2 linked regions of the Tribolium castaneum genome follow. The main gene of each other region encodes a partner of the protein of the gene in region 2 in a complex. Links are inferred from orthologs where the notes say so. Each region holds a gene or a part of one and is shown on either strand. Other genes may lie near its edges.

Region 1 (11,587 bases), on a different chromosome or scaffold from region 2:
CGAAAACAGTAACCATAAATGGCGGGAAAATGTTTATTCGGATATTTTGAGCGTTGTACGAATTTTGGGGCTTCACAATTATTACATTGCCTATGCGGAATGATTATTGCATCTTTGATGCAAGAAACTTATGTTGACAAATGAGAGATGACGAGGAAAACACGAATAACGAATGACTGTTTGGTTCACTTTCTTTATTGGAAAATTATTACAAAGACATTGAAAAGCCTACCTTTTGGCATAATTTACGTTTAAATGTATCAGCAGTTGTTAATCTTTATTGTAGTTTTGTAGATTTACCGCAGCATTTCATGATTTTTTCAGTGGAAAATTCTAATCTAAAATTCATAACACTTCACTAATTTATTGGTTTCTTGAGCCAAACTTTGTGTTCGCTGTGATCCATTACTTATAATCTTTAATTAGACAACTGTTTGATAACACTTTGTAATCAAAATTTAAATATTTTTCACTTTTTATCCACTTTCAAGTTCCAACAATAAACACTTTATACCACGAAAAACTACAGAACCAAAGTCAACGCTAGTATTTACCACCACGTACTTTTAAAGTAATTCTCTCTAATGTAAGCAATTAACACTATACACGCAAAATTGTTAAAGAATTCATTAAATGTCAATTAAATGTGGAATTACGAAAATTTCGTTACTGTTTTCGACATAGTTCAAAAGTCATCACCAGAGGGCGTCTAGTTAATTTTATTTCCGAATAAAAATAAATGATTTTTTTGAAACGGTTTCCTAGGAAATAATTCCCCGTGTTGGCACATCTACACATTGTGATTTTTTGGATGAATTTTAATTTTTTTAAATTAAAAAAACTGCTAAAGCCTGATAGAAAATTAAAAAATAATTATTCATTGTTTTTTAGAGAACTATTACCTAGTGTGAAACATAAAAACATTAAAAAATAATGAAAACTAAAGAAGTTGGTAGCTCCAGATTTTTTTAAATATGACTAGGAATTTTTTCAACATTTTTCCCGTAATCTGCACTTGCTTCTCAATAACGTATCACTGAGTTGGTGCGCCAGTTCTTGAGCATTTTGTATATTACTTACATTTATCCCTCCATCTAGGAACAGCGCCCCCATCAGGGCCTCAAAACAGTTGGCCATGGCATGCCTCAGCTCCAAATCGTGGCACAAATCCGACCCATGCGCATACAGCATGAACTGATCCAACTTCAGAGTTTTAGCCAAAACGGCCAAGTGTTGATTTTGAACAATCGCCGCCCGATATGTCGCCAAGCCGCCTTCCTCCAAATCGGGAAAAGTGTAAAACAAATGAATGGAACTCAAGAACTCAACCACAGCATCGCCCAAAAACTCCAACCTCTCATTATGCGTAATATTCGACTCGGTCTCCTGCTGTTTCCCAAACCTCGACATGATATTAATCAACGTATTAATCCCGCGCTTCCGCGTATTCATATAATGGATCCTCCTATCCCCATACTCCGGCTGTCTAATCCCGCAATTCGTGAGGGAATTCCGGGCATGGTCGGGATTCGTCCCGAAATTCTCCCGATACGAGGGATGCGTCAAAGCCAACTGCAGTAACGCCCGATTCTTAAACTTGTAATTCACCGACTCTTCCAGGATATTGAGCGAGTGGTGAAACCTCAAGTGGCACACCAGGACCGGGATGAGCATGGCATGCTGGATTATGTCGCACATAATCCCAGTCCGGTAAAATCCCTCGGCGGACACGGCGACCGTGATATCCCGTTTCATCTTGCCTTGGGTTCGCATTTCTTGCAGTTTGTTTTCCTTGGATTCGAGTTTGCGTTTGTCCTCGAATGTCGGCTTCGACATGTTTGCCAATAGGTGGCGGAATTTCACGTAATCACGCCAGGCTTTTTGATAACTGGAAAGAGAATTTTGGGTTTTTTGAAATGGTGCACGGACGGTAGAGGGCATACTCGGGGTTACCGGCGTAGCTTAGTTGCGGGGGGCGGATGCCGAAGTGGACGATTTCGGGGAATTTGTAGTCGCCTGGCTTTTGGAGGTCAATGTTGCGGTCCAGTTGGTCCACGCGGACCGAGCAGGGTTTCTTGCCAGGGTAGGTCACCACCATGCCCTGAAATTTGAACCATTTTACTATCTTTCATTTTATTTTATAATTTTTTTAATTACCAACTATTTTTATTTTATTTTATTATTTTCTTAATAACCAACTATTTTTTATTTTATTTTATTATTTTTTTAATAACCAACTATTTATTTTATTTTATTATTTTCTTAATAACCAACTATTTTTTATTTTATTTTATTATTTTCTTAATAACGAACTATTTTTTATTTTATTTTATAATTTTTTTAATAACCAACTATTTTGATTTTATTTTATTATTTTCTTAATAACCCCAACTATTTTTTATTTTGTTTTATTATTTTTTTAATAACCAACTATTTATTTTATTTTATTATTTTTTTAATAACCAACTATTTTTTATTTTATTTTATTATTTTTTTAATAACCAACTATTTATTTTATTTTATTATTTTCTTAATAACCAACTATTTTTTATTTTATTTTATTATTTTCTTAATAACGAACTATTTTTTATTTTATTTTATAATTTTTTTAATAACCAACTATTTTGATTTTATTTTATTATTTTCTTAATAACCCCAACTATTTTTTATTTTGTTTTATTATTTTTTTAATAACCAACTATTTATTTTATTTTATTATTTTTTTAATAACCAACTATTTTTTATTTTATTTTATTATTTTTTTAATAACCAACTATTTATTTTATTTTATTATTTTCTTAATAACCAACTATTTTTTATTTTATTTTATTATTTTCTTAATAACGAACTATTTTTTATTTTATTTTATAATTTTTTTAATAACCAACTATTTTGATTTTATTTTATTATTTTCTTAATAACCCCAACTATTTTTTATTTTGTTTTATTATTTTTTTAATAACCAACTATTTTTTGTTTTATTTTATTATTTTCTTAATAACCAACTATTTTTTGTTTTATTTTATTATTTTCTTAATAACCAACTATTTTTTATTTTATTTTATAATTTTTTTAATAACCAACTATTTTGATTTTATTTTATTATTTTCTTAATAACCCCAACTATTTTTTATTTTGTTTTATTATTTTTTTAATAACCAACTATTTATTTTATTTTATTATTTTTTTAATAACCAACTATTTTTTGTTTTATTTTATTATTTTCTTAATAACCAACTATTTTTTGTTTTATTTTATTATTTTCTTAATAACCAACTATTTTTTATTTTATTTTATAATTTTTTTAATAACCAACTATTTTGATTTTATTTTATTATTTTCTTAATAACCCCAACTATTTTTTATTTTGTTTTATTATTTTTTTAATAACCAACTATTTATTTTATTTTATTATTTTCTTAATAACCAACTATTTTTTATTTTATTTTATTATTTTTTTAATAACCAACTATTTATTTTATTTTATTATTTTTTTAATAACCAACTATTTTTTATTTTATTTTATTATTTTCTTAATAACCAACTATTTTTTATTTTATTTTATTATTTTCTTAATAACCAACTATTTTTTATTTTATTTTATATTTTTTTTAATAACCAACTATTTTTATTTTATTTTATATTTTTTTTAATAACCAACTATTTTTATTTTATTTTATAATTTTCTTAATAACCTATTTTTTATTTTATTTTATTATTTTTTTAATAACCAACTATTTTTTATTTTATTTTATTATTTTCTTAATAACCAACTATTTTTTATTTTATTTTATTATTTTCTTAATAACCAACTATTTTTTATTTTATTTTATAATTTTTTTAATAACCAACTATTTTTATTTTATTTTATAATTTTCTTAATAACCTACCATTTTTTATTTTATTTTATTATTTTTTTAATAACCAACTATTTTTTATTTTATTTTATAATTTTTTTAATAACCAACTATTTTTATTTTATTTTATAATTTTCTTAATAACCTACCATTTTTTATTTTATTTTATTATTTTTTTAATAACCAACTATTTTTTATTTTATTTTATTATTTTCTTAATAACCAACTATTTTTATTTTATTTTATTATTTTCTTAATAACCAACTATTTTTTATTTTATTTTATTATTTTCTTAATAACCAACTATTTTTTATTTTATTTTATTATTTTTTTAATAACCAACTGTCCGAGTTTTTAAACAAAATTTACCAGGTAAAAATGGTACCAATTATTATTTCAAATAATTCGGCACCAGTTTAGTTAAAGAAACTTAATTCTGGTCGATTCCTTGCTTAAAAACGACAAAGGTGTGTCAAGTTTTTGCTACTGAGAGGATTCAGAAAACGGTTAGACATTTTTTCACATAAAATAGGTAATTGAAGTTGCAAATGCCTTTAGAACACAATAATTTGAAGCGTAAAACACAAAATTCAAAAGAATTAAATTTTCTTAGTTATGGGACTGAGTATAAAGTTATTCGGATTTATTTACTTTGATTTCATCAGCGTAACTCTGCCACTCATACTGCGTCATCTTGATCATATCCTCCAGGTCCTTCTCTTCAATTAACGACACTGAACTGTCCAGAAGATACTGCAGTACTTCGTTCATTGCTAAAATTTCCTTGCCATTGTCGGGCAATTCGCGCACAAACCGCGGCATGAAATGAAACTGGGAACAACCGTCAACATCACCTGCAGCCTTAAAATCCAAATCAACCAGTTCTAGAATTTCTCGAAATAAATAATCATCTAAAAAAAAAAAAAAACTAAATTGACAAAACCTAAAATTTTGCACCAACTTACGAAACAAATCCAACTCTCTCACGGTGAAATTATCGGGAATTTTCTCCTCAATATACAAGATTGTGTACTCGATGTTAAACCGGATCACCTTACACGTGGGGAGTTTTTCCAACGGAAAGTGCGAGAACATGGAAAAGCCCTCGAAAATGAACTCGTGCTCGTCATAGTGTATGATTGTTGGCGTTTTGATTAAAAAGTTAGTCGGGGGTGAGATTGTTATGCGGTAGTGGTACAGTCGCTCGGCATTATTGCTGTCAGGAACACATTTCTCCAGGTGCTTTTCTCCGGGATAGATCCCGTGCCGGATCCCGGATTTCCGGGACTTGATGGAACAGCGGCAAAGGGGGCCGTCGTTCATCTCCCCCGGATCGTTGTACCACATTTCCGGGTGCAGGCGGTCGGGGTGTTGTTGCTTCCTCTGCAGCTCCTCCATCGTGCAGTCTTCCTCATCGGTGAGCTCCTCCTCCGAGCTTCCCGAAGAGCTCGATTCCTCAGCTGAAATTTCCAGTTAAAAAATTTTTTCTTCAATGTAATAGAACTCACATTTGTGTTTGCATAACCTGGCCCGGTTTTTCCGCGGCGGCGGCTCATATTTCGGCTTTAACTTATTAACCTTCGCCGCTCTCATAACCAGGCAATCGTTAAATTTATCACAAAGTTGCGTCAGTCGTTTCGTCGCCCTTGTAACCCTCGCATTACTCTCATCCTTCCTGTAGTACAAGTCCGAGGGTGTGGACCTCGTCCAGATATTCTTCTCCTGCTCTAGCACCTCCTCATGGTCCACTTTCGCCAACTCGTGGATCTTATTCGAGACCTCTTCCCGCGTCGAACAGTAATTTTTCCGCCACTTGGACAAGATCAGGTCGCGTTCTTTGACCGGTTTTTCCCGGGGGCGGCTGCGACTGCGGCTACGTTTCCGGTAACGTGAATATCTAGGCGACCGGGAACGGCGTCTCGGTGAACGCGATCGCTGATTGGTGGCTTTTTTCTGCTTGTATAATTCCAGTTCTTGGCTGTAGTCGCTCGGGGGCGGCGGGCGGTCTTTGTAGCGTTTGGGGGGCTTGTCTTGTGCGGGGTACGGGGGGTAGTAGTTGTAGTGGCCCATGGGCGGCGGCGGGACGTTGAAATTGGCGGGGGGCGGGTATGGGGGCATCATGGGGGGGTACGGCTGCTGGTTCCACTGCCAGCTGGGCCAGCGGGGGTCGGGGGAGGGGTAGTTCGGGGGGTAGTTGACGTATTGCCCATAACTCGAATTATAGTAGTAAGGGTCGCTCATTGTCTTCAAGACTATCACAGACAAGTGGATAGGCGTGGATTAGTGAAGATTATCCTATAAATTATATAATGGTGGAAATGTAAATTATTAATTGTGCATGGTTTTCTTACATTTTTGGTTGAAAAAATTGTTTAATAATTGTAGCACCATGATGTTATTTTTTCTATCAATAATTTTTGGTTACCAAAGAGACCACCGATTGGTTACTACCAACATATCGGAAACTTGATGTAAATATCCCTACTTAAAAATTCGAAAAAAGTCGTTACAAAAAAGACAATTGGCGAAAATCCCAGTTTTATTAGTCCTGGGCCTGAATATTATTATAAAATCGTAAAAAAAAATATTTTCAAGCTAGTAGAATAACTGAAAAGGGAATCATAACCTCTCCTTGATTATGCAACTAGTCATACAATACGTTTTTTCAATTAAATTCATCAATATGCAAGTGCATATCTTATGTTTCAACTAATTAAGTAATTACGCATTTTTGTTTTAGTTTTTCGGCATTTTTAATTAACATTTTAAATTTTGAAGGTTATCTGTCAAGACATAACCTCACATAAAAAATAACCTCTGAACATTTTTAAGTTATCTCTTATCAAGTCAATTATTTAATTCCTAACGTCACACTACTTGCTTTACACTCGTGAGTGCCGCCCAGTTATCGAATCTGATTAGATAAGCACAAGTGTGATTATTATTAAATAATAGCAACATAACTCAGCAAAAATTTCGGTATGATGGCGCACATGTTTTGCTTTATTTGTTACATCACGAAATAACGAAATGTTTACCAAGACCAAAAATCTGAACCTAGTCTATGTCCTGTCTTTTGTGGTAAGTGAAACCAGTTAATTATCACATTATTCAAGTCAATTCCAGGACCTGTTTGCCGTGGGCCTCACAGTGCCCCTATTCAGCAACCATTTACGGGAGTTAGGAGCTTCCCATTTCACTATAGGCCTCCTAAACTCGCTATACTCAGGACTCCAAGTCATTTCAGGCCCCATTGTGGTATGTACCCCACAAGTCAGATTTTTCCGTAAACAAATTTTTCCAGGGCAGTTGGAGCGATGTTAGGGACCGCAGATCCGTTTTACAGATCACTTTACTGCTCTGCAGTCTCGGCTACGTGGCCCTGGGGCTCACAAACTCACTTTTGGTCATCGCAAGCGTTCGAATTTTGCTCGGTAAGTTTCCAACCAATCGTAGGCATTTCCCCGACCACGTGACTGTTTAACCAGTGGCGCCAGCACACTTTCAAAATCGCATGATTACAGGAGTTACAAAACACACTCAAAGCATTTGCAAGGCTATTATAACCGATTTGGTGCCCCCTTCGGACCGGGCCAGCGCTTTCGGCCGCTCCACAGCCTTTGGTTCCCTCGGTTTCATAATCGGGCCAACGCTGGGGGGCCACTTAATCGAGCGAAAAAACGGCTTTTTCCACGTGTGTCTTTTCACAAGTGTGCTTTTTATCATCAATGTTGGCATAACTTGCGCAATTAATGAAATCAAATCACCAAAAAAGCGGCAATTAAATCATGAAAGTGTTCCTATTTTTGCAAAACTTGGACACGAGTTTAACAAGTCGGTGAGAGACATGGGGGAGATCGACTGGGGGGCTTTTTGGGACGTGTTCCTGCTACGGTTTATTTTCGGTTTTTCGGTTACGATGTATTTCTCGCAACAGTCGGTTTATTTGAAGGAGCAATTCAAAATGGCGCAGCGCCATGTTGGTTACACCATTTCGTTTTTTAGCGCGTCTGGAATGGCGGCCGCTTTTTTGCTACATTACATTAATTATTTCTACAAAGGGGACGTTTCGTGTTTGAAACGTCTAACTCATTTTTTTCTTTTAATGACTTTGAGTCTTGTTTGTTTGTATTTTGCGCCAAATATCGAGTTGTTTTTGTTGGTTTTGGTTCCCTTCTCGTTGAGTTGTACGGTTTTAAGGATAGTTAGCATGGAATTGATGCTCAAAAATGCGTCAACTACTCACAGGGGGTCTCTATCAGGGACTTCCAACAGTATTATGTCAGTTGCTAGGTTTGTAACTCCGGTTACTTCCGGGTTAATTAGTGATAAGTTGGGGGGATCTAGTGCTCTGCTTTTTACGGCTGTGCCGCCCTTGATTGGGACGCTTGTGTCGGTTTGGATGAAAGTCAGGAATGGTGATAAGAAAAACAACTAATTGTGATAATGTTAGTTAGTAAAGATTTTATTTTATCTTGTTTTATTTGCGTCCCAGTTTCTTGTCCTTTTCCCTTATTATAATTTTACAAAAAATAATTATTCGAGTGAATGAAACTAAACCTGAACTGAATAATACAGTAATTACTTCATTACGAGTCGAATTAAAGGTTTAATAATAAATTATTAAAAATGCTCGGCTCTTTTTTTCATCATTGCGCATTAGCTACGTAACACTTGTGCAAAATGCATCATAAAAACATACAACCAATGACAGGTATTCTAATACTGAAGTACCGAAGCTCAAATTTAGTTTCAGACGACTACTTGAAATTTATCAAATTTGTGTCAAGCGATATTTTTCAACTGCTCCCAGTTAAAATATTCCTGGCCGTTGTTTTCCTAACTCATGCCGTTTTGGATTTGTTGACAATTTATTTCGTACTTTTTGTGATAGAGCCGCACGATTTCATCACTTATATTTCAGTGTTTCTGGGCGAATTTTATGCAAGTTTTTTCATCGTTTGTGCTCTTTTTAACATAAATTTTTAGCCACTTTTTGCAATTGTAATGTTACTGTTTCGTGGAAAAATAACCGACAGTTTGAAACACAAATTGGCAATGTGGACAATCACTAGTACAGACGAGAAGACTCAGTCGGACATAAAACGGCAAATAGTTTTTTTCAACGGCTTTGTTGTTCTAAATTCTGTAATAATTTCGATTGCGAGTTGGTTTTACGCCGCCCGGTTGTCAGACGATGTGAATGCGTTTTTTGCACTACGTTTGATCCATGAATATTTTCCTAAGAGCATTTTTGAAGTTATTTACAGAGTCACAAATTTTGTGCTTGGCCAGATGATGTGTGTTCACGTCCACCAGACGCTTTATTACACCCAACACATCAATATTCAAGTGCAGATGTTTAAAAAAATTATAAGAGATTTGGAAAACGAATCGAAAATTGAACAACAGCTGAAATTCTGTATTGAAAGACATGCCGAATTTATTAAGTGGGTTCCCAAAATTTTTTTTCGCAAAAAAATTAATAACAAATTTCAGAATTATAACGTTAACGACTAAAGAACTTCGTGGTGCGTTTGTCGGGTTTGCATTTGGCGGGCTTTTGTTAGGTGTTGCGGTTGCGTTTTACATTTTTTCGGTAAGTTATTTGAATAATTTCCCAATAATTGAGATTAAATAAATGTTTAAGGGGCTTTTGACTCCTGAGTACTATTTACGTGTAGGTGCTATTGGTTTAGCTAGTGTGGTTAATTTCGCGGTTACAATTTGGTTTGGACAGTCTACTGAAAGTCATGTACTATTTTTTTAAATTATGATTGTTTAAATTATTCGAAAAAAATTGTAGCTAGATGAATTGATGTTGGCAGTCGGTGAAGTCCAATGGTACAATTTCAGTCAACGTAATAAGAAAGTTTATTTAATTCTACTGATGAATGTTATGAAAGGACGGAAGTGGAGGGTTTCTGAAGAATATTCGGTCAATTATCGATTGGGACTAGCCGTAAATGTTACTTAATCACTTCTTAACCACTTCTTTCGGTTATTTCCAGATTGTCAGAGGCGTTTATTCAATCATTTCTGTCACAAGTTCGTACAAAAAGTCTTGAAATGTTTTGGGTAATTAACACACAGGTACTTTGCTGATTTATTTATTTGTAATATCTAGTGTTTTACAGTTTGTTTTATTTTTAATTCTTACGAATTAAAACAGCTTCAAAGATTCATTGAGAGTTTTTACGGTTACATAATTATTTTATTATTAATTTTACGAAAAAATATGAATCAAAAAACTTTTTTAAGGCCGTGATTTTTTTTTGTTTTCCCAAAATATGTCGGGATTTTTTTTTAACAGAAACCCCAAAGTGAGATTTGTCGTTTTTTTTTCTTTTTATCTAAAGCTCGTATTAAATGAAACAATAATTAAGTACATTACGAGTGACAATAAAAAATAAAAAAGGTGGCGTATTTAATGAAGGTATTTGGAAATAAAATTAACTAGACGCCCTCTGGTGATGACTTTTGAACTATGTCGAAAACAGTAAAGAAATTTTCGTAATGCCACATTTAACTGACATTTAATGAATTGTTCATCAATTTTGCGTGTATAGTGTTAATTACTTACAATAGAAAGAATTACTTTCAAAGTACGTGGTGGTAAATACTAGCGCTGACTTTGGTTCTGTAGTTTTTCGTGGTATAAAGTGTTTATTGTTGGAACTTGAAAGTGGATAAAAAGTGAAAAATATTTAAATTTTGATTACAAAGTGTTATCAAACAGTTGTCTAATTAAAGATTATAAGTAATGGATCACAGCGAACACAAAGTTTGGCTCAAGAAACCAATAAATTAGTGAAGTGTTATGAATTTTAGGTTAGAATTTTCCACTGAAAAAATCATGAAATGCTGCGGTAAATCTACAAAACTACAATAAAGATTAACATCTGCTGATACATTTAAACGTAAATTATGCCAAAAGGTAGGCTTTTCAATGTCTTTGTAATAATTTTCCAATAAAGAAAGTGAACCAAACAGTCATTCGTTATTCGTGTTTTCCTCGTCATCTCTCATTTGTCAACATAAGTTTCTTGCATCATAGATACAATAATCATTCCGCATATTTAATGCAATAATTGTAAAGCCCCAAAATTCGTACAACGCTCAAAATATCCGAATAAACATTTTCCCGCCATTTATGGTTACTGTTTTCGACCTAGCTTAGTGGCGCCCTCAACGGTAATTTTACTTCCGAATAGTAGGTTATAAAATGTAAAATATACTATTATCAAATTTTTCTGAAAAATATCGCGTTATTTTCACGAGTTTTTACAAAAAAATGAAAACACAAATTATTTTGTTTAAAAATATTTTATTGTGAAGGTGTTGCAATTTTCCTAATCCTGTTTGATTCTTGCTTCCGTTTCTTGTTCTTGCTCCGTCTTCATGAACCTTTGGTTCAGCAAATAGACACAAATGACCATTGGCAACAACGAGAAAAATTTAAACCCATAACCGCCAAAATACTGGCACACAATTCCGAAAAAAATCGGTCCTATGACATTCACCAAATAGGCAATGGTGTTAGACGCCTCAAAAACATCAGGTTTTAAACTTAAACCCAAGGCATCATCGTCCAAGAGCGCGTTTACCAACATAAAGCAAAAAAACATCGGTATTAGAAGAAACAAATAGCACTCATAACTGGGGGCATAGTACAGCCCTGGTAGAAGAAACCCGGAGATTAAGAGACTGTGCTCGAATAACTTTTTCTT
Region 2 (11,477 bases):
GACCATCAAGGCGTGTCTTTGCCTCGGAAAACTCTTCGCAATCGTTCCAATACAAAAATTTTACCCAATTTTTGTATTTCTCGTTTACACAATTTGCGAAATTTACAGTTTGTACCAAAGACGGGTGATTTATGTAGGCTTCAGTGCCGTCCAATTGGTGCTAAAAATTGTGGTTGATGTTTCGCTTTATTTTCACACGTTTCACGTTTTGATAATTGTGATGAGTTTTAAGCGGGACAAGTGGGCGAAGCTTTTCAAAATTTTAACAAAATTGGAAAGTCAAAGCCAACTAAGTCGGAGGTTTTTTTGCCTTGTGGTTGGAGTCCATATCTTGTTTTTTATTAACACAAGTGTGAATATCTCCACGTGGATTGGGCTTATCGGTGATTATTTTTTAAAGTGTTATTTGGTCGAATTTTTGGAAATTTATCCGCTTTTTGTATACGTTATTTCAAGCAGCGTCATTTTGAAAATCCTGGTCGAAAAATACAAGCACCAGAACCGACTTTTGACCGACTTTTCCAATTACAAAACCGTCAAAACCAATTTATTTTTGTTGAATCAAGTCGTTCAGATTTTTAACGAAATTTTCGGGTGGACAATTTTAGTGACGATTTTCTTCTGTGTGGCAAGGACTTTGATGTATTTTGATATTTTTAGTAAAGATTCGTTTTCGAAAAATTTCAATATCAGACAAGGTTCGATTTATTTCGTTACGAACTTGACTTCCGGATTGTTATTTTGGGTGAGTTGTTTTTTTTTTATTTTTTTTGTGATTGTTTTTCCAGACTCTCCTCCTTTACGTAATTTATTTGTGCGATCTAGTGGCAAAAGAATTTGATCAAATTTTAAACCTCGCCTACAAAATTGAGACTTGGAGCGTTATCTTCGATAACAATTTGCGAAAAAACCAAGAGATAATGAAAGAGATTTTGAATCATCGGCCGAATTTCACAGCTGCCAGGTTTTTTACGATCAACAGATCAACGATTTTTACAATTTGTAACTCCTTGACTTCGTTTTTAATCATTATCATTCAATTTAAAATCAACTAGTTATAATATAATAGTATGTAAAAAAAATGAAAATAAATCATTAAAATTAAAACTAGCTTCAATAATTTTATCAGTCACATCATACGTCTGAAATGTTATTATTCTTCGGCTAATCGGTAAATTTCAGATTGGAAAGATGTGCCACACTATAGTTTTATTCTGATGTTTAGTTTTTCCAAAATGTCAAAAAGGCCTTATAAAAAAACAATATTTTTGGTAAAACTTATTAATAATATTTAAAATACAAGTCTAAACAATATGTTACCAAAAAAAAATATTTTTTTGGAAGTTTATTTAAAAAAAAATAGCCTTCAATGCATCCAAAATTCAAGAATTTTACGTCTGTTGAACCAATCGGTAAATTTCAGCCTGAAACAAGGTGTCACACTATACCCCTATTTTGCCGTTTTTTTGACAAGTACTACTAGTACTTCACCCAAAAAACCCAAAACTGACAACAAAGTGCCCAAAACCCAAAGAAAAAAAGCACCTTGCAACGAATAAAGAGAAAAAGGTTCCCATAAATTCTTTTTTTGGTTCAAATGTTGCAGTTTTACCAACATTTCGGTATATTCAACGTCTTGGTACCACTTCAAGGTCAATCCACTTTCAACAATGCGCAAAATAACGTGGTCAAAAATGGCCAAAAGGGCGGAACCTTTGGGTACTATATACGAAATAAAATAAGACGTCAAACATTCATTGACTATATGCAAAAGTGGGGTACCATCCTTGTCTAGATAATGCGTTTTAATGAACGCTTCAATATCTCGCTTTCTTTCTAACTTGGCAACATTGCGTTTGTACGCCACCGCGTCCATGATGTGTGGTACCGATGGTACTTTCCTCCGCTTCAGGTTGGCAATGGTTTTGGAACCAACCCCATCGAACGAATAAAAGTTGCTAGCAATGGGCAAACCAGACCTGTCAAGCTCCTCAAGCGTGTCAATCTCGCGAAAATAAGTAGGCGTTGTAAACGATTTAAAAAACGAACCCTGAACCAAACTCAAAATAATGACATTGAAAACCATGCAAAAAAACAAGAAAATTGATTGGCCAACAGTTGGTACGATCTTGACGGGAATCCCGTGAATCACACTGAACATTTCCCAAAAAACGCGACACTCGCCTCTGGCTCGGTACCAAACGATGGTACAAACGACCAAAGTACCGTAGATACAAGCCCACGCAATGGCATTGAAACAAGTGAAGACCATCAACCATTGTGGTACTTTTTGCGATTTTGGTACCAAAACACAAATCTTATCGCTATCATATGGTACCGTAAACTCGATATCGGTGGTACCATAATTAGTGATAAAGCGACCATTGGTACCGATCTGGGCGCGGTTCCCAGCCACTTGACCCAAACTACCAGTCACGGTACCATTAGGTAGTACCCACCCAAAATCCTCGTGTCCCATATCCCCAACTGTGGTAAAATCAAAATTCAAAAAACCCGCCAAAGTTGACAAAAGACACCCGTCTAAACCGACCAGCCCACTCGATTTGTAGATCGGGTTGGCTCGTAACAGTTCGGGTACCACCGTCATGACGGTGGGAAACCGCACAAACATTGCGATTTTCAACGGAAGTCGGTGCAAGTCCCGTTGGTTGGTACCACCACATGTGGTACCACCACCACCGCAAAAACAAACGTCCAAAACGCCAAAATCCGCCCAAAACCGGCGCAAAATCGCAGTGGTACCACTCGTCCAAGTGAAAAAAATCTTGTATGAATGGCGGGCCAGTGGTACCACTATTTCCGGTCTAGTGTCGAGAAATAAATCAAGGGTGGAGGCGTCACGTGTCACGATGACGTGAGTTGTGGTGGTACCAAAATCAGGGGTGGTACCACTATCGTTTAGGTTTTTTTTCTCGATTTGGAGGCTATTGGTACCGCCAATGCGGTTGGTAATGACGTCAAGGTGGTCGGATAAGGTGACGTCATTGACAGTTTGGAGTAGTACCAAACGCACGGATTTGTCCGAAATTTGGTCAAGCTCTTCCAAACAATTATTAATCGTGTTGTTGAGTAAGAGTAATAAAAGTTGGAAATTTGGTTTCATTGTTAACGATATTCTGATTACAAATCTAGGGGATTTTATTTATCACAGTTGTCAATTGTAGTTCAATTACAGTAATTTATCTAAAGACTTGTAAATACTACGTCAAAGATAATTGACACTAATTGGGGGAATTACATGTAAGGTCTCTGATTTCTAAATAGCAATTACAGGTTTCTGTAATTAATTGATTTTTAATTGGGTTATAATAATCACCTGGACGAAGTCAAGGTGTTGGTTACCAATAAAAATCAAATGTTTTTTTTCTATTTTTTTCGTAGTAGAAGGTTTTTTAGAATTGTAATTGTTTAACAAATTAAATTAATTTGTAAACTGTTTTTTTGACTTTTTATTTTATTTATTTGTTTTTATATTAGTGTAACAATCAGTCTATAAAATTTTAATTAAATAATTGATAAGTTAATTGTTTCTCTCGTTTTTCAAATTTTTTTTTGTTAGGCTATTTTTTAGCAGCACCATCTTACGGCAAAAAAGATTAAAGAAACCTGTAACAAATCGTGACGGTGGACAAGGTTTTAAATAAAAAACAAATGTGTTAATAGTTTTTTATTAAAGTACAAACGAGTTAACCACAATTAATTTCAAGTATTTTTGTTTGATTTGTGCGTAAATAATAAAAGTTAACCGCATTTGCAAAACGCCACCTAGCGGTAATCTGTTGCAATAGAAAAAAATACCAAAAAAAATTAGTTTTGCGGCAATTAACTAATTATCCCAAAATTGGTAATCATTACTGCGTCCTCTGTGTTAATTAAAATTAGAGATAATGGTGTTGTTTTTGTCTTGATTATGGTGAATCAGGTGACTGGTTCCTGCCAGGCCCCTGAAAGTGTATACAAATTATGTGTTCACTAGGAGGGGTGGGGCAAAGGGGGGAAATGGCTAAAATAGTTCGTGTGCTCCAGCTTAGAGGTCGCGTCAGTTGCAAAGAAATCTGTAAATTTAAAGGAATCTGTCACACATTTTGCTAAAAGTAAAGAAGGTTCACTTAAAAATAATCGACGTGCGCACACTTCTCTTTTTAATTCTTTGATTTATCAACAGCCGATTATTTTGCTGTCGTTGCGGTTTTTGGCGACATTTTGTTTTAATGTGTTTTAAAGACTTCAGAAAACGATTTAACGTGATTTTTTGGATGTTTTTGTGATCAAACATCTCTACTTTTATATGGATCTTTTATTTGAATCTAGTGTATAGTGTGAATGACAGTGTTTTAATGAAGGATGAATCAACTTAAGGCAAATTAAGGTAAACGTTATTGAAAGGTGTCTATACAACAATTAATTGCGATTTCTAGATATTAATATAATCATATTACACCAAGAAGGATCACACAAACTTAGGAGATGAAGACCGTCCTTGGAGATGATAACGGTTCTTGGGATGTAATTGAAAATCCCATGAAGACGAGTTAAATATAATGTGCAGTAATTAATAGGTATATCATAATAATAAATAAATTTATTGTAGTTGCGAAGCTAGTATTTTGTGAAAGCAGGGAGTTTAGGACTTGCTATGGTTCAAGGTTTTCAAATTCGCCATGTCCCTCTATGTCTTAATCTTTTATGTTGTTTTACATAATGTTATAACGCCAATGCCTGTTAAAAAAACAAGGTTTGTCTTTTTTGTGATTGCTTAATTTAGAAACTAAGCGAAAAAACGTATTCTACAAGTATCATACAAGTTAATCAATATTAAAGCCTACTATTATTATAAATTTAAATGATTACATGGTAGTTTTAATCAGTTAACTTCCAGTGATAGTTATGTATATCAGATATGTGGGTTTTTATTTAAAATAATTTTAGCACACTTGTAATTCTCTTGTGTTTGAGTAATTTACTAATAACTATGATGCAATCGAGATTACTTTTAAAAAATTTCAAAACTTATCAAGAACTTTGACATCAAACTGTTAAAGTACGTGTTAGGGCCGCTTTTACAAACGTCCGTAAACCTTATAACCGCGAATAAATTTCGAAAAATAGTTGTTTAAATTTAGCCTTAAGGGACTTAAAAATTGGACTATTGTCAAAGGTTACAAGCAAAATTTTGATATTTTTTTGCTTTTCTGAACAGTCTGTAGACAAGTAATCAAACCAACAAAACTGATGTATTTATACAGACTGATCCCGAAATACTGTGTCTGTTAGCAATCTGAATTTAAATTTTAAAGGATACCAATAGTGTACACTTTCAGGTAGCAATTCAATAATTTAATCTGATGCCAACATACTCAGTTTCTCTGGATCATTGTGTATATTTAGACAATGTATTTACATATATTAGTACATCTGAGTATGTTTATGAACAACAATTCGAGTTAAATTAATTTTGCCTATACATTCCAGCACGTTATTATTTTTTTAATAAATTTTTATTGGAAAGACTTTGTTTCATTTTATTAAGCGATGTTAAATGTTTTTGTGCTATTGCAACTGTTACAGATGCTTTTTTATTAAAATGTCTCGTAACAGTGCATGAGTACAGAAACATTTAACATTTATAATTCTTTAAATTTGGAAAATAAATAAAATGTCCTGTTTGAATTTCCCGCTATTATCGAATTAGTTTGTTCTCCCCAGGTTAGGTGGCGCTTTCGCGAAAAAACGAGGGGTAGACAGAGAGATTCGCTTCTTCCTCTCTCTTATTCTATGGTTCCTGCTTTACCGACTTTTCAACATGGTGGTTGCAGGTGAGTTCGTTTCGTAATTTGGCAAAAAATCGGCGTTTTTTGGACGTTTTAGTGCCGAAATCGTGCTAAAAACCAGTGGTTTTCTGCGGTACTACTCAAAGAACATCTCAATTTTTGCTAATCTAATAGTTGGAATGTTCTTTTAATTGTTACCGTACGAAAACTGATTCAACATGGCCAGCGTGAAGAAGGAGGTGGTTGAGGAAAAACCGGACATAAACGCGCTCAAACTGACGGGAATTAGCCCCGATTTCACGTCCGATTCGCTCGAGATCTGCCCCTATTCCAGCCAGAATGACGTGCGAAAATTCCACATTTTGGACGAGACCGAAGACTCCGACTCGGAAAAGTCCTTCTCGTGCGATTCGGACATTCCGGATGAGGAAATCGATAAAATGCTCGAAGACGCGCTCAAAAACAACAAACGCAAGGCGTCGGAGGCGGGTTTGGGTAACAGGACGTCCACTTTTTAGCCCCCATGAAAAACTGTCGGTTGTAGATGAAAGTGCAGCCAAGCAGCCCTTTGAGGAGAAAGACAAGGTGGTGTTGATTGAAAAGAGCCAGAATCATTTCGATGTGTTGCCGGAAGGCTGGATTCAAGTTACACACAACAGCGGAATGCCCCTTTATTTGCACAAAAATTCAAGGGTTTGCACGCTTTCCAAACCCTATTTTCTGGGCCCGGGTTCAGTTAGGGTACGTTTTTTTATGTTGCAGTGCATCGAAGTAGGCTGATTAGGGCACGAGCCGGAGGCGAGTGTCGTAACAGGTACGTGTGACGTTAAATTCGACCCGAACGTTAATTTTTTTTTAATTTAATTAATTAATTAAAATTAATTAATTAATTCTTTTATTCGTTTTATGACTGAATATTTAATTTTTTGTGTATTTTTTCAGTCTATAAAATAGTTTAATAATTAAATATTGTGTATATTATTTAGTTTTTCGTTTCAGTGTTTTATTTCGTTTTTTATTTTTTTAAATTTTATTTTAGTAATTAGTCTAAAAAATTATAATTAATTAACTAATTGTGTAATTGTTTTTTGACCAAAATATTTTTAAATTTTTTTAATTTGAAATTTTAATTAATAAATGAGTAATTCGTTGTTAAATGAAGATTTTTAATGTTTGCTTATTTTTTTATTAATTTTAGTGATTTTAATTCATTATCAAACTAATTAATTAAGTTTTTCCTTGGTGTTTTAACTGAATATAAAATATTGATTTTCGCCGATTTATTTTTCTTTGTTTTTTGACTAAATATTTTTCATATTTTTTACTGTTTTCAATGTTGAATCTATAAAAACACAAATAAATAGTTAATTATTTCACTAGTTTTTACTAGTAACTAGCTAAATTAAGTCCGCATCACACTGCCACAGCCTACTTGATGCACATTATGATCCGACCCTTCCTCAAAAAAAAAAAAAAATGAAAAAACCCCATTTTAGAAACACGAAATTCCCCTAAGCGCCATCCCCTGCCTCAGCTACCGTCGCGCACTTGATTCGGAAAAAACGCAAACGCCCGAATCGAGCAGCGACTTACCGAACGCACGCATCGAAACCGTTAAAGAAAACATCGAATCGCAAAACCTAAAACCTGAAGATGTGCGCAAATACGCGTCGAAACTCTTCCAATTCAAAACCATCAAAGTGATGCGCTTTAAATCGTGGTCGGAACGCCGCCAATTCACCAAAAAGCGCAAACACGAACAACAATTACAGAGACCTAATTTACCGGCCGGCACCAAATTGATCACGTTTCCAATTCAGCCGAACGAAGCGAGTGAGAACACGAATTCGAACGCTAAGAAGGAGTGGATTATGAATCCGAACGGGAAATCGTACGTTTGTATTTTGCATGAGTACGTCCAGCATGCGTTGAAAAAACAACCGACGTATAAATTTACAGAGTTGGGTAAAATACCGGTGTTTTTTTTGGCGCCAATTTTGAAATTGTGTTGCAGAAAACGCGGCAACGCCTTACGCTGCCACGGTTTCTATCAACGATATGCAATACGGAGTTGGCTATGGAACGAGTAAAAAACAAGCGAAGTCGGAGGCGGCCAGAGCCACCTTGGAAATTTTAATTCCCGAAATGAAGTCCAAAATCACGACTGATGCCAAGACGGGGTCGAGTGCCAGTCGCGACCAGGACCAGGACTTGTCGGTAATTTCGAAATTTTTTTCCAAAATTAATTTTTTTAATTTTGGAAAAAAAATTCATTTTCTAAAAAAATCGAAAAAACATGTTTTTTTGGTTTCTGAAAAAGTATATTTTTTCGATTGTTAGTTTTTCGACGAAATTCGGATCGAGGACCCGAGAGTGGCCGAATTCTGTGCGAAGACGACCGAGCCGTCGCCGCACGATATCCTCCTCACTTGCCTGCAGCGTAACTTCGGCCTTAATGACCTCCAAATCAGTTACCAAGGCAACACGTTAAAAAATAAAAAAAATCAATTTACCATGACGGTGGGTAAGCACACTGCGACCGTCGTGTGTAAAAACAAGCGAGATGGGAAACAGCGGGCGTCGCAAGCGATTCTCCAAGTAGGGGTTTTGGTTTTGTTAGGTTGTCGGGTTTTTAGGGTTTTTTCCAGGCTTTGCACCCACATATTACGTCATGGGGGTCACTGTTGCGACTTTATGGCAACGGATCGGTGAAAAGTTTCAAAGAGAAGAAGTTGGAAGAGCAAGAAATTACGCTTTTGCAAAGTAAGGCAGCGATTAATTCGCCGAATTTTGCAATTTTGGATAAGCTTAAGTTGGAATTGTCAAAGTTGAGGGATAAAAGGACGCAGATTAAACCGATTGGGGTTTTTATACCGACGGAGAGTGATTCGTTACCGAAATTGTCGTCGTCTAATTTGAAAAATGTCGATTTGTAGTAGTGACTTGATGCAATAAATAATGTTGTATGCAACTCGTGTTTTTTTTTTGCCAAAGTAACCACACCAAACGATTAGACGGGTAATTGTAGCCTGGATCCATGGGTCACACTATGTGTTTACGACAGATTCTAATTTCCAAAAATTTCCAAAAAAAAATTTTGGTTTTCCAATAATTTAAAAATTATGTTACTAATTTGCTTTTTACCAATTTTTACGCTTGTTATTTGGAGAAATTATTTTTTTTACCCAAAAAAACTCGAAAAAATTGTTATTTCGAACCCGAGTGGATTTTTTGGCGAAGTAACGCCAGCGTTTGACTAATTGGACGATTTCAGTCTGGAACTATGGGTAACACTTGAGGGTTTTTTCAACGTGTTAAATTCAAAAAAAAATTTGGTTTCCAAATAATTCAAAAATTACTTGCCGAATTCAGTTTTTTGCGTGTCTTATCTCACACTATATCAGTTTTTTATCATAAACAATTTAAATTTTTACTCGGGACCTCGAAAAAATTGACATTTTGAGTCTGGGTGCAAGTTTTTCCAAAACAATGCCAATATGTGACTATTTGGGCGATTTCAGTCTGGAACGATGGGTCACACCATAGTGTTTTTCCGACGTTTTAATTTCCACAAAAATTATTTTTTACATAATTCAAATATTACCACCATTATTTTCTTGTTTATTTTGTTTAACATTAATGTGATTATTTGTAATTATTATTTTTTTCCAGTATGATATATTTAACTGTCAAAATCACGTGACCAGTCACGGCCTGCTTTGACGCAACCCACCGCCAACTATAATTATTACAAAACAGTCTCAGTTCTACGTAACTTTCTAAGCAAAAACCGCTTTTTTACCATCGGTCGTGGCCAACCTTGACCACGATAACCCGAATACTCGGGAATTTTTATAATAACCCAAAATGAGAATTGAAAAAAATGAAAAAAAAAATCGAAAGTTAGGTGTTTAAAGGTCGATGACTTGATGGAAGAAAGCGCAAAAAAACACGATATTGTTTTATTGATGGACGTGCGACTGTCGTTTGTTACCACCATGACCCACTTGATGATGGCGGCATTCAGGGCCATCTCGATTTAGTGATCAAAATTAGCGATTCGATTTGTTTTGTTTTTTCTAGAGCGTGCGAATTTCGTAATAACGGCCACACTTTCAGTTCCTTTCCATTCCGTTGCCTTTTCTTCGTTTATTAAAATAATCAGGGGCGGCGCTGCTTGTTTTTGTTTTTTTCGAGAAACAATAATTAAGATAGCACTAATTATTGATTGTCGTTTAATTGTTTGTGTTAACAACGTTCGAATTCATTAGGCGAAGGTCAACGTTTTTTTAACAGCATTTCCATAACCATCACAGCCAACTGTTTACTTTTATTATTCCATCGGAGAAAGTTAAAGACCCATCGAAAGTAAAAGTACCATACAACAGCAAGTACCATTTGGCCAGATTCTCGCGAAAAAAATCAAGTCGGCGCGCCGCCACTGCTTTCACTCTGTGACGTCACCTCATCTCCCCTCCAATCATCTGTCAGAGGATTTTTTACGTTATCTGTCACTTTCGCTCTTTAGTCAAGCGGCGATCGTCATTTGTTGTTGTAACCATTGGAAATATGTAACAAGTTTGTAAGCAAAAAACTAGTGTGCTGTGGCTCTTTGTGTAACATCAAGATAGCCGTGACAACGCTTCCGGTTTTTTATCACAGGTAGCTATGCACGAAATCCAAGGCCCACTCGTTTCTTTGTTTTGATGAATATATTTTTGATCGATCGTAACAGGCTGTATTTTTATCAAATTGGCCAATAATCATCAATTGACCTCTCAACTTTGGAGTTTAACCCCGAAATTGTTGTTATCACGTGTGATAACAATTAGCGACTTGTGTTTTTAATGCGTCTGGGTTGGTAATGGATTAATGATTAATTACCAGCTGACGGAATTCGAATTTTCGGCCATGGCAACCAGTCGTAACCATGACGATTGCCTTAGTAACCAATTAAATGGGCGCGAATTTCGAACGAATTATATAAGTTTGCGTTTAGCAATTCGCAAATTGGCTGAAATGTGGAGTAGTTGCCCAATTTGGGATAAATCTCGTGTGTTATATGTGTATGAAATTATATAATTGCGTTTCAAGGCCTAGTTTTAAAATAAACTTTCACATAATCCGGTCATGTTTTACGTTTCAAGTAAGAATTCGAATAAAATTTTCGTCGATTAAAGTTCGGCAATAAAACTGGACAATTCGGTTTTTTCAATTCATTTTCCTCGAAGTCGCACGTAAGTTAATTCGACATTGATATTAGGTTAATTTGCGTCAAAAAACGGGTTTTTGATTCACGGTCAGAGGCGAGGGAATTAATTGAGGCGATCGGAGAAAAATTAAACGGGGAAATAACATTGTCACATATTTGTCATTCAAACGTTTTTAACTTTTTTCGTTTTCAAGTTTTTTGTCTTTTTCGATCCCAGAAGCGTTTTTCTGAAACCGTGCGTGTTTTTTTAACAAACCGATGTCACATCAGCTAATTGGTCAATTTCAGCCTGAAACAATGTGTCACACTGCATATTTTTTGACATTTTTATTTCAAAAAAAAAAAAAAAATATTTTAGAACTTATGAAAATTTTAGGTTCATTTTGAAATGTATCATCTTTAGATTAACCCGTTGGGCACACTGATCAAAATTTCACATAATTTTTGCATTTTTCTAGTATATAGAAACGTGC

Evidence for each region.
Region 1: the proteins of pasha (region 2) and drosha are in contact, whole or in part, in a crystal structure (PDB 5B16), measured with the Homo sapiens proteins. The link is inferred for Tribolium castaneum from reciprocal best matches to the Homo sapiens genes DGCR8 and DROSHA. Residues at the interface, in NP_073557.3 of Homo sapiens: Asn728, Ile731, Leu732, Lys734, Leu735, Gln736, Glu738, Met739, Lys740, Leu742, Ala743, Arg746, Arg750; in NP_001369437.1 of Homo sapiens: Leu984, Leu987, Phe988, Thr998, Tyr999, Thr1001, Ala1002, Ile1003, Gln1005, His1008, Phe1069, Asp1073, Leu1074, Glu1076, Val1077, Trp1078, Asn1080, Pro1082.

The regions. Positions count from the first base shown.
Region 1 is NC_087400.1:1,737,720-1,749,306, forward strand, and holds the start of drosha (ribonuclease 3), read right to left. Parts: upstream 6,357-11,587; 5' UTR 6,209-6,356; intron 6,153-6,208; 5' UTR 6,099-6,152; coding exon 5,366-6,098; intron 5,318-5,365; coding exon 4,823-5,317; intron 4,769-4,822; coding exon 4,509-4,768; intron 2,102-4,508; coding exon 1,944-2,101; intron 1,889-1,943; coding exon 1,081-1,888; intron 1-1,080. Other genes in the region: major facilitator superfamily domain-containing protein 9, read left to right, coding at 6,888-6,938, 6,984-7,115, 7,162-7,291, 7,346-8,295; uncharacterized protein LOC107398775, read left to right, coding at 8,865-9,307, 9,357-9,456, 9,508-9,612, 9,664-9,819, 9,869-9,925; uncharacterized protein LOC103314529, read right to left, coding at 11,210-11,587. UniProt on the Homo sapiens protein: Ribonuclease III double-stranded (ds) RNA-specific endoribonuclease that is involved in the initial step of microRNA (miRNA) biogenesis.
Region 2 is NC_087401.1:17,246,393-17,257,869, forward strand, and holds pasha (microprocessor complex subunit DGCR8), read left to right. Parts: upstream 1-5,792; 5' UTR 5,793-5,837; intron 5,838-5,889; 5' UTR 5,890-6,010; coding exon 6,011-6,287; intron 6,288-6,336; coding exon 6,337-6,533; intron 6,534-7,288; coding exon 7,289-7,757; intron 7,758-7,806; coding exon 7,807-8,009; intron 8,010-8,132; coding exon 8,133-8,390; intron 8,391-8,440; coding exon 8,441-8,728; 3' UTR 8,729-8,763; downstream 8,764-11,477.